Canis lupus familiaris: one gene and its partners. The protein of the gene in region 1 purifies or fractionates together with the protein of each later gene. This does not show direct contact. Links are inferred from orthologs where the notes say so. Each region holds a gene or a part of one and is shown on either strand. Other genes may lie near its edges. The genes, in order: EIF4B, EIF3B and EIF3A.

What was found.
Region 2: the proteins of EIF4B (region 1) and EIF3B purify together in Homo sapiens (affinity purification with mass spectrometry; 3 studies listed by BioGRID and IntAct, with this or other methods). This does not show direct contact. The link is inferred for Canis lupus familiaris from reciprocal best matches to the Homo sapiens genes EIF4B and EIF3B.
Region 3: the proteins of EIF4B (region 1) and EIF3A purify together in Homo sapiens (co-immunoprecipitation; 3 studies listed by BioGRID and IntAct, with this or other methods). This does not show direct contact. The link is inferred for Canis lupus familiaris from reciprocal best matches to the Homo sapiens genes EIF4B and EIF3A.

What each region holds. Positions count from the first base shown.
Region 1 is NC_049248.1:44,524,632-44,528,279, reverse strand, and holds part of EIF4B (eukaryotic translation initiation factor 4B), read right to left. Parts: intron 2,804-3,648; coding exon 2,575-2,803; intron 1,507-2,574; coding exon 1,394-1,506; intron 1-1,393. UniProt on the Homo sapiens protein: Required for the binding of mRNA to ribosomes. Functions in close association with EIF4-F and EIF4-A. Binds near the 5'-terminal cap of mRNA in presence of EIF-4F and ATP.
Region 2 is NC_049227.1:14,923,782-14,926,963, forward strand, and holds the end of EIF3B (eukaryotic translation initiation factor 3 subunit B), read right to left. Parts: intron 3,022-3,182; coding exon 2,913-3,021; intron 2,666-2,912; coding exon 2,562-2,665; 3' UTR 2,549-2,561; intron 2,241-2,548; exon of another isoform or gene 2,138-2,240; intron 1,920-2,137; 3' UTR 575-1,919; downstream 1-574.
Region 3 is NC_049249.1:29,623,097-29,627,325, forward strand, and holds the start of EIF3A (eukaryotic translation initiation factor 3 subunit A), read right to left. Parts: upstream 2,932-4,229; 5' UTR 2,775-2,931; coding exon 2,726-2,774; intron 1-2,725. Other genes in the region: DENND10 (DENN domain-containing protein 10), read left to right, coding at 3,285-3,450. UniProt on the Homo sapiens protein: RNA-binding component of the eukaryotic translation initiation factor 3 (eIF-3) complex, which is required for several steps in the initiation of protein synthesis.

The DNA of each region.
Region 1 (3,648 bases):
TAGCCTTGCTACGTTTTCAGTGTTAAAATGTCTACACCAGGGATCCCTGGGTGGCACAGCGGTTTAGCTCCTGCCTTTGGTCCAGGGCGTGATCCTGGAGACCCGGGATTGAATCCCACGTCGGGCTCCCGGTGCATGGAGCCTGCTTCTCCCTCTGCCTATGTCTCTGCCTCTCTCTCTCTATCTCTCTCTCTCTCTGTGTGTGACTATCATAAATAAATAAAAATTAAAAAAAAAAAATGTCTACACCAGAGAATATGTATATGTGTGTGAAGAGGACCTCTGATAAATCTCAAACCCCAGGATCCACTGAGTTAACTCCAAGTTGGAGGCTCAACACACACACACACACACACACACACACACACACACACACACACACACAATATGATATATAGGAAAAACAGGCCATCTTTTTTTTTTTTTAAAGGGCAGTAAATGTCTTCTCAAAACTAGAAGTTTTGGGATGCCTGGGTGGCTCAGTGGTTGAGCGTTTGCCTCTGGCTCAGGGTGTGATCCTGGAGTCCCGGGATCGAGTCCCACATCGGGATCCCTGCATGGAGCCTGCTTCTCCCTCTGCCTGTCTCTGCCTTTGTCTCATGAATAAATAAAATCTTAAAAAAGCAAAAAAACAAAACAAAACCAGAAAACCAACTAAATGTTTATTTTGTCAGATTCTTTCTACGTTTTAAGTGCAGCCTCCTCAGGAGGTATCAATCCAACCATCACACTTCCACCTAGTCACAAACAGACATTACCTTCCTGTTACTAAAAGGGTAGCTACTCCAGTATGAATAATTTCCAGAAAACTTCTACAACACTTGGATGAACTTCCAAATCATCTCAGTCTGGAGCCACGCTTTGAAATGCTCAAGTACAAATCAACTTAGAGGTGGGAGGAAGAAACTTAAAAAACAAAACACTGGTTCGCAATAAGGGAAGAGAGATGTTATGATTTAATAGTTCAGTTTCCAAAACACTAAAGATGTTTGTGACCAATCGATAAATTCAAGGAAGGAAGGAAGGAAAGAAAGATCAAGAGTAGAAGATCATCGCTCCAGACATTGCTCTGGTCGTACAGGACATCCAAAAAGGCTGGCAAGAGAGCTGTAGGACTGTGACTGCTCTAAATAAAGGAAAATTCTGGAATGTCAAAACAAAAAGAAGGGACAAATCTAACAGTCAAGTATACTCTTTAGTAGAAGATCATTAAACAGGTCGCCCAAGTCTCTTCTGATGCCATTTTCTTAGATTTTTCAGACTAGATGTAATATTCTGCTCAACCTATGCTAACCGAAATAAAGCCCCCATGACTGAGTTTAATACCCCACAGTGACTGCATAATTTGGTTATGGCTCATTTATGGAAAGAGGCAATAACACGTGATACCCACCCTGGTCTGACTTACTTCTGCCAGTTGTGGCCGAGGTCCCAGTCTGTGATGACTCACTTCCTGTCCTGGACCGTTCCCGTTCCTGAGTCTCTTCACTTCGCCAGCTTGGGTGTCTGTACAAAGAGATTAAAAAAAAGAAAACAACTTATGTCCAGCTCACTGAAGGCCACTTTGGACCCATGCTGACCCCTCAAGAACCATCACTTCATACTCATCAGGCTTGCTGTATTTGTGGGTGGGTGTGCACATCTTGTTTCTCTCAAACCATTTGAAAGCTACAAAGATAAATACACTTTGGCTCTAAACACTTGAAGCTTCAACTAGAATGAAGAATATTCTCCTACCTAACCTACAGCCCTCCCTTACTGGTAACACAACTCTAAAAGCCATTTAAAACTAGGCCATTTTACAGGTTTCTACCCCATTAGATCCAATGCCACTTTTTAATAACAAACACTTCACTACCGACTCCTTTACCATCCTGAAATATCCTTAAATAATATACCTGACATAACACACGAGTAAAAATAAATGTAAAATAATTTATATATAGTTTATGTTTTATAGAAGTAAAAACATTTTCTCTTTATTCCAGCAACTCGAATAGAGGCACTTCCACTCATCTCATAATGGTGGCTTTACCCCATATACTAAAGCAAGATTTGGTCAATTTTTTAATGGGTCAGATAAATTTTATTTACAAAATATGGAACAGCACTGGGGCACCTGGGTGGCTCAGTTGGTTAAATGTCTGTCTTCGGCTCAGGTCGTGATCCCAGGGTCCTGGGATGGAGCCCCGCATCGGGCTCCCCGCTCAGCAGTCCGCTTCTCTCTGTGCTCTTTCTCAAATAAATGGATTTGGGGCGGGGGGAGGAATAGGCCGTAATTTGCCTACTCCTCTATTAATCGATCATCAATTTATAGTTGTCAGAAGTTAAGCCCAGTTAAGCCCCTTTAAAAGCCACGAGGGCCGGCAGGCAACTAACTCTTCATAGGGTTCAACTGTCCCATATACTGCAGCGCACCTACTGGCCCCAGCCTGTGTACACTAGATGCTATTAAGTGACAACTAATAACGCCTGCATGAATTTCCCAGATGTGCCCTGGGATGTGTACCACACCCGTCCTTCAGGAAGCAATTCGTTCCCAGATCAGAGATCCGTAACTGAAGAGAGCCTCACCTCTCTCGAGGCCGTCGCTCTAGTTTTGGCTCATCCAGCTGGCGCTGCAGCTTCTCCTGCTCCTTCTGCAGCCGCTCTTCTACTTCTCGCTCTCTAGCAGCTGTGTCAACAGGCTTTGCCCCTCCAAAGATAGAGGCCGCTCGACTGGACTGGGAGGTGCTAGCGGAGGAATCATCTTCCTTAGGAGTACTCCGAGGCTTTAGATTCAGTTTGGGTCTTTGGGGGGGACCTAAGTTAAATAAAACTCTAAGTAACAGTTTTTCAAAATCCTCAGAAGCTGATGGCCAAAAGTCAGATGCCCAGACACAGCTCTTAGAAAATGCCACATGGGGGGACATGTGGTTGAGCATCTATCTTTGGCACAGGTTGTGATCCCATGGTCCTGGGGTCAAGTCCTACATCAGGATGCCCGCGAGGAGTCTGCTTCTCTCTACCTATGTCTCTCCCCCTCTCCCTGTGTCTCTCACGAATAAGCAAGTAAATAAAAATCTTAAAAGAAAAGAAAATGCCACACGGGAGAGTAGCAGCCTAGCCAATCCAGTAGAGAAGGGAGAGCATTAGAAAATAAATGGGTGGTTTAAACAACCAAGGACAATCAATCTTCCCACTACGCCACCCATGAGGCTGTGCTACACACTGAGGACTTACATGGTGAGTCATCACAGCTACTATTACTAGGAAGAAATGGTCAACTATGATAAACTACTGGATGCAAGTATCTTGGTAAAAAACGTGGTCTGGAAGATGAACTACTTCAGGAGGCTGAGAAGAGCTTGTGACAATACAACGGGAAAGACTCTACTTCCTATACTCTTGGCTCTGTGTGGAATCTAAATCTCATAATGATTCATGGAGCAAAGCATACAGTACCAAATGGCTAAATATAAACTCTAAAGGAATTTGATTTCTCCTTGGATCCAAACTGTCAGAATATTTTAAGACAAACCTTAGTGTTTCAAGGGAATTGTATTTCTCAAAATTAGTGTTTATCCTAAATAATTTCAAACATACAAAAGATAAAGCTTACGTATACCAACCACTGGCTTAAGTAATAAAACACTCGAAAAGTCCACT
Region 2 (3,182 bases), on another chromosome or scaffold:
CACACGCTGCTCCTACATTTGATTAAAGACATGGCGGTCAGTCTGACAATACGGTAAGTTCAAACCCAAGAATTCCAACTTGGGAGATTGCAGCATTGAGCTAGAAGGCCCACAGAGGCCAGTCCAGAGGCAGGCACCAGGCCTGAGCTCAGGTGACTCCCTCCAAGTCGCCATGGCTGTCCCAGCCTGCTCCTGTGCTCTTATGGACATCAGGTCAATGCTAGCTCTATATGACGTCCCCACTCCATCACTGAGGCAAGGGGACAGACGAGATCCTCCCACCTAATGTCCATATCACCCTTCCACAAAGGCTCTGGGCTGACTCACAGGAGGCTGCCAAAGGAGCCCAAGGATCTGCTTTCCACACAAGAGCAAACACCTACAAGTCCTGCCAGCCTCTAGAGACAGGACCAGGATGGCAGGCCCACACAGGGAGCCGGGAACTGTGCCCACCCCAATGCCCCAGCCAGAGGAGCCAGAGTGCAGGGGCCACCCCAGCCCAGCCCCGCAAGATGGGTCAGGCCATCTCTCTGCCCGGGAAATTCATTTCTACAGAACAGAACAAGCACAAGCATTTCAGAAATCCTTTTATTAACAAATTATGTAAAACAATTACAACTAGCAAGTTTAAAACAATCAAAAGTAAATTTTTTGAAAACTCTGTTAAAAATGTGTGAGAATGACCAAAGCCTGTACCCTCCTCTTACCATCAAATGTAAAACCTAGGTCTTGGCACGATGAGGTTTAAAGGACATGAGCACACACACACACACACACACAGTGGACCCCACACACCAATGGGGCATCAGGACAGCAATGACTGAACAGGGGCTGGAGTGCCAAGTGTGCCTCATGGCCGGGCCCAGGCCACAGCAGACCGCCTGCCTGCTCCTCCAGCACAGCCCTATGGGGCAGGGACTGCCAGGCCCCTCCAATCCCACAACACTTCAGGCTCATGCGAGCCCTGGCTGGTAAATGTGGTGTGCCCGTCCTATGCTCTGCTGCTTCCCAGACGAAGAGTCAGGCTCCCGGAGACAGAAGTGGAGCAGCAGAAACTTCATGAGGCACCAATGGGAAGCAGAGGTTCAGGTTACATTGACTCGTTCAACCCTCTTTTCAGAATAAAGTTAAATATTCAGAGGACCACGTGACAGTGGCTAAAGTGACAATTCTCATAGACTTTAAACGTGTAGGACTCCAAGAAAAAGTCTAGAGGGATTTTTCTCACCAGGTGAAAAGAGCATGGAAAACAAAAACAGAGTATTTTTTTTTTGCACTGATGGGACTGTGCTCAGCTGAAAATGCATGACCTTACGCAAGGCTGGAGGCCTCCCTCCTTACCAGGTCAGCCTCGTGGGCAAGCAGCAGGCGGGTGTGCTGAGCCCTGAGGGCCGCCATGGTCAGGGCAGGGACTACAGGCACCAGATTCAAGGCCGCTATCTACGTTTAAAGAGAGGAGAAAGACAGTGTTTTCATACAGGTTTGCTTTTATTTCCACACTCAGCCCGTTGAGAGAACCTGGCACAACCTGAATGGCACCAGGACACTGTGGAGTGCTGCCTCCCTGTTGCGTCCTGGACACAGCCACACTGGCCCACGCACACGGGACAGACAAGTCCTTGAGGGGAGACGGCTCGGCTGTGCACTTCAGGAGGCCGAGGGGCCACTGTGGCAGTGCACGAGAGTGTGAGTAACAAACACTGGTGGCGTGATTTTAAAAACCCCAAACAAGAAAAAATTTAAAGTAGTGCCTTCCATCCTCCCCTGCGGTGGAGACCAGGGGTTAAAGGCACAGTAATGTGTGGAAGATGGGGGAGTCCGGGAGCACAGTCTAGAGCAAGAAAAAGCACAGGTGAGAATTCAGGCATTGTGCAGGCTTCTCGCAGGACAACCTGGTTCCAGCACAAGACGTGGGGACACTGCAAAAAGGAAGCAAGTGTTCAGTCTCTGCTCCATGCCTTGACAACAGGAGGCATGTTAGCAACAACGACCGCCGATGATGCCCCCAGACCATCTCAGAAGGCAAAAGAAAACCCCAAGCTCTGCTTCAACCTGATGCCCAAGGTGAATAGGAGCAGACGCCCCGGGGGAGCAGCCTCAACAGCAGATAGTTTATCTGAGGAGCTGTCATGCTCACCCGCTGGCCGCCCTGGGCACGATGGCTCTGGGTCCTCCTCGAGCGCTTACTGAGAAGTGTGAGTGCCCAGCCTTGCCGGACTGGCTTCTGAAGGCTCTCGTCTCTGCTGGGCACACCAAGGCCCTCTCACAGCCAAATGCCCAGAGATGGTTCGCAGCCAGCCTCCGTCCTCCCCCCAGCCCTGTGTCTTAGCCACACTCAAACCCCACTTGCTAGGTGCTTTGCTACTTTCGGAGAAAAGCTCCAGCTCTGACAGCCTGGGTGTGCACCGGACCCTCTGTGACTCCCACACAAGGGTCATATGGACCCCAATGCCATGAATCTGGGGGTTTCCTCACTCAAGGGACAACACAACAGGGGAGAGAGAATACCCACTAGGGTACTGCTCATCCCTGTCTGAAGAGGCCTTACCCCTGTGCTTAGGTCACTCCTGATTTCCCAGGGGGATGATCTCCTCAGTGACGAAGAACTCGATGGTCTCCTCTTCCCAGTCCTCCACGTTGCTGTCCAGCTCGTCGGTGTCCACGCCTGCAAGTAGGGGAGGAGGTAATGGGGTGTGTGCACACACATGCACACCCACCCACCCTCGTCAGCTGAGAGCCCAGAGTGATCACAGTAAGGTGCCCCGTGGGCGTGAACCTGCAACCATGGGAAACTCTGTGCTCTGACAATTTAAGGGTCTTTATGACACTTAACTGGAAAACTCACATAACAGGGGAGAAACACATTTTCACAGAGACGTATTCTACTATGCACATCCTCAGCTAACAGTTACCTCCTCGCAATTCCAGACGTTCACTCTTCTGCTCCATGTAGAGCTCCTGGGCCATTTTCCGGTATTTTCGGAAATCTTCCATCATGGTGCGTCTCCTCTCCACCAGTTCCTGAGCACGGAGTTGGGGAAAGTCATGGGGATGACAGGCCCCTCTCCACCACGGGGAGGGCCATGGCCAACAGTAATGCCTGCTGCAATGGCTGCCGTGAGGACCCCTCTATTCACAGAGGCTTTCAGGTCAGGACTGGAAGGACGTGCTCTCTTCCATCC
Region 3 (4,229 bases), on another chromosome or scaffold:
TTGATATTCTTGAAATAAAGATTAAAATCCAGAATTATAAGCTATTACTAGAAGGATGGGCATTCTGAGTTTTCCTTTCAGACACAAAGGCAAACTGTATCGAAAAAATTTAGGTCTGTCCTTCAATATTACTAGCTTACTTGTACAACAGACCAAGTAGATAAGCTACAGTGTTACACAATTTGTGAGTTTAAACAACTTGATAAAACACTAGTAGAATCAAAATTAAAAGGCTGTTACAAGATCAGGAGCAATGAATTCCAAAGAACTAACAACATAATCTGGGGCTTTTTCCAAATGATTTCAGTGTATGAATTTCTTGCCTCTAACTGCTGGGCCAAGTTCTCATCTTCCTGAATGATTACTATAATCGTCTCCAAAAATATTGTTCTGAATTACAGATTCAGAGTTACCTGGAGAACTATTCAACTTAAATTTACTCACATTTTATTAAGACAATGCAATGGATTAATTCTAAATGTGTTTGATGCTACAAATGGTATAGATAAAATGTTGACATAAAATGAGATTATCTCTATCGAATGGAATATGCTTTTATAATCCTAGTTTTGTAAGCAGTGCCGTGTGTCATCCACATTCTGCTCACTTTTAACACTTACAGACAGAATCTCATTCACAAGATCAAAGGTACAGAAATTACTAGTTGAATGCTAAGCCCTCTACTACAGAAACACCCAACCTACATTTTAAAAGGACTGCAGCAAGGAGTCAGTACAGCCTTTTAAAAAACCGACACAACCCCCGCCAGGGTGCCCCTTGCTCACGTTGCCTACTTTCATTTCAGATGCTTTCTCCCAAGTTAGAAAATGTGAAAAAAGATTTAAGATGTTACACATCCAAAAACCCTTCTAATTTAAAAAAATTACTGACATACTAAGCTTATATGACCATTCAGAGGGAGGAGTGATGAAAGAAACAAGGCCTGAACACATCAAAAGTGTAGTATTTAGGCCATGAAAATTTCAGTGCTTCAGCCTATTAGCATGGGAAAGACACTTGTCAGTAAAGCAAATGACTGTAAAGCAGATCTACAATAGCAATTAGAACAGTAACTGAATCCAAGTCACTCTATATACCGTAAGTTTCTAAACATAAGAAAAAAAATTAACTTTACTACAGTTCATTTTGTAGTGATGAATTTCCACTTCAATCTATTTTCTTTCCTAGAAATTAACGTCCTTAATTCTTGCCTATTTTAACTATTAGATCACTGGTTAAAATGACTAGCCATCAGATCTAAGTTGTAGTTTTAAATGATTTTAAGACAGATGCTGTACTCGAATCCAAATAATATGGAATTACCCAATTTCACACTCTTAACCCCCAAATTGCTACTTTTAAAATAGCAGACACGTTATTAAAAAAATTTTTTTAAGTAACCTTTAGTCCTGATAGGTTATCAGGAGTATTCATTTTATGTATTGACTGAAATTGGCCAATTTTTCCCAAGAGGAATTTTTCAAACAAGTCAACAAATAGAACTTCATAAACATAAAATTCTAAGAGACACAGTGTAACAACCTACAGCATGGGTTAAGACCCAAAGCTTGTTTAGGTAGAGGAAGGTGAAAATAAGAGCTATGGACGCTCTACACACTTAGAAATTGTTGGGCTTAAAAAACTCTAAACGAAAGTTTTTTTTGTTTTTTTTTTTAAGACCAGAGCAATGCATGATACATTTGCAGCCCCATAATGCCAACGTAATAAATGCCTCTTGAACAGACCCGCACAGGCACAAGTTTTCCCTAAAGGGCCTGTGGCTTTAACCCACATGGAAATAAAAATCGCAGGCAGTAGCCGCTGCAGCGAGGGGGGGGGGGGGGGGGGGGGGGAAGACGACTGATCTGCAAGTCTAGAGACCTCGGTTCCAGTCTCCTGGCTCAACTACTAACTCCCAGAGTGACCTTGGGTAAACATTCTCTCTCTCTCTCTCTCTCTCTCCAGGCTTCAATTTCGTTATCTTTAAGAGAGAACTTGAAGTCTCTCTCTCACGGTATTAACTCTGTTCCAACTTCATGCGGCTTAGAATAGGCTTCGGGGCGGCCGATAGTCAATGCCAGGAAGAGCAGATAACAGGTTAAATGGGTCAGTGTCTCCGCGGCAGAGCTCCGGGGACTGGGGGAAAGGGTGAGTGGACCCTGACCCAGCAAAGCCCGGCGCTGGATTTGGGGGGCGGAGGTGCCCGCGGGAGGGCCGGGGGTGGGACTGCCCGGCTCCCGGCGCCGGCAGGAGGTGGAGTCGAGGTTCTCGCGTGCATTGTCCCCGGGAGGGAGCCATGTTTCTTCCTCCCCGGCACTCCCAGATGGCGGCTGGGGGCGCGGGGCCTCAGCAGCCGAGGGCCCGGCGGCCTGGGGCGCGGGGCGGAGGCGGAGAAGCGGGGCAAAGGAACTCGGGCCTCGGAAGCCCGTCTTGGGGCCGCGGCCCGCGAGACGCACCAGGAGGCGGCGGGGGGGGGGCGGGGGGAGGAAGAGCCCCCCCCCCCCCCGCGACGGTTCCCGGGTCCGCGCCTCCCACCCGCCCCGGTCGGTCGGTCGGAGCGAGAAGGCAGACCGTGCCCACCACGGGCCGGGGCGGCGGCGGGCAGGTCGCATCGACCTCTCGGGCCGCAGCCGAGCAGCAGAGCGGCGAGACGCAGGCCCGGGTCCCTCGACCTCCGAGGCGCCTCGGGCCGACCCAGCCCGGCGCGCCCCGATTCCCGACTCACCGTTGGCGCGTTTGAGGGCATTTTCCGGCCTCTGGAAATAGGCCGGCATCTTGGCGGCAGGCTCGGCTCACCCGGCGTCAGCGAACTCCTTAGTGGCCCGGGCCGGGAGGGGAGACGAAGGGGAACCAGCGCGAGGCTCCACGCGCCTCGCCAGCAGTCGCCCGCGCCCAGCCGGCCAGAGACGGAAAGGAAGGAGCCACGTGACCCCCGCACGGCGGCGCCGCCGCCGCCCAAGCCCCGGATGTAGGGGGCGGTCCTGCGCGCGCAGGCGCGCTGTGGTCGCGCGCGCCGGCTGACGTGGCGGCGGCGGCGGCGGCGGCGGCGGGCGCCCTCCGTGCGGGGCGGGCACGTTGCGGGGCAGGTTCTCAGGCCCCTCGCTCCTCGAGCGAGAATCGAGCTGGGAAACGTGAGGTGTGGGTCGGAGGCTCTGCCTGGCGAGGAGGAAGGCGTCTGCACCGGTTTGGGACCTGCTTTGTGCGCAGTCATGCAAAGTTGCAGTCGGGTCCCACCCGCCCCGGGAACGAGCTGAGCTGCGCGAGAATGCCTGGTCCGTCCGTTTATGGGAAATGCAGCGCGCCGCGGCGGCCTAGTAGTGAGCAGCCCTCGACGGCCCCCCGGGGGCAGGAGGGACGCAGTAGATAAATCAGTGAGCTTGTTTCCTATGGGCGAAATAAAAAAAGTCGCTGACACAAAGGTTGCCTGGGGAATGGGGACCCTCGGAGAAGGTGAGTTTTGAGCTGAGACCTGAAAGATGGGGACGAACTGGGGACGGTAATCTGGCTGTGCGTCATGTTGGAAGATACATGGGAGTGTTGTCGCCTTCACGTTATGCTGAACATAAAAATAATAATGATGAGTGTTCCTGGGGGGGTAGGAGGGATCAATTTCTCAGGCCCTTTGCTACAGCCCTTTGTTACTGATCAACAATCTTAATTAATGTTCGATCATTAACTATTAACACCCAGAACTTGAAAGCCATTTGAACTGAATCTTAGTTAACTCAAGCCCTATGAAATTAAGGCGGGTTCAGGAGAAAAATTAAGAAAGCGTCAATGGAATAAATTGTTGCAAATTTTTTACCCATTTTGTAGTAATGGATGGGACATGAGAACGAACGGCAGAGTTCTCTACGAGGGGACAAGGAACCCACAGTCCACACACGCGAAAAGCATCTTCCCCTCGTTCTTTAGGCCTCAGCAAAGAGGTTTTTCTATTTAGATCTATCACCAAAAAAGAAAGGAAACTCGAGACATGGAGACACAGATACAAAATACATCTCAAGGGATCCCTGGGTGGCGCAGCGGTTTAGCGCCTGCCTTTGGCCCAGGGCGCGATCCTGGAGACGCGGGATCGAATCCCACGTCGGGCTCCCGGTGCATGGAGCCTGCTTCTCCCTCTGCCTGTGTCTCTGCCTCTCTCTCTCTCTCTGTGTGTGACTATCATAAATAAATAAAAATTAAAAAAAAAATAAAAAATAAAATCTTTAAAAAAAAAACAAAAAAAA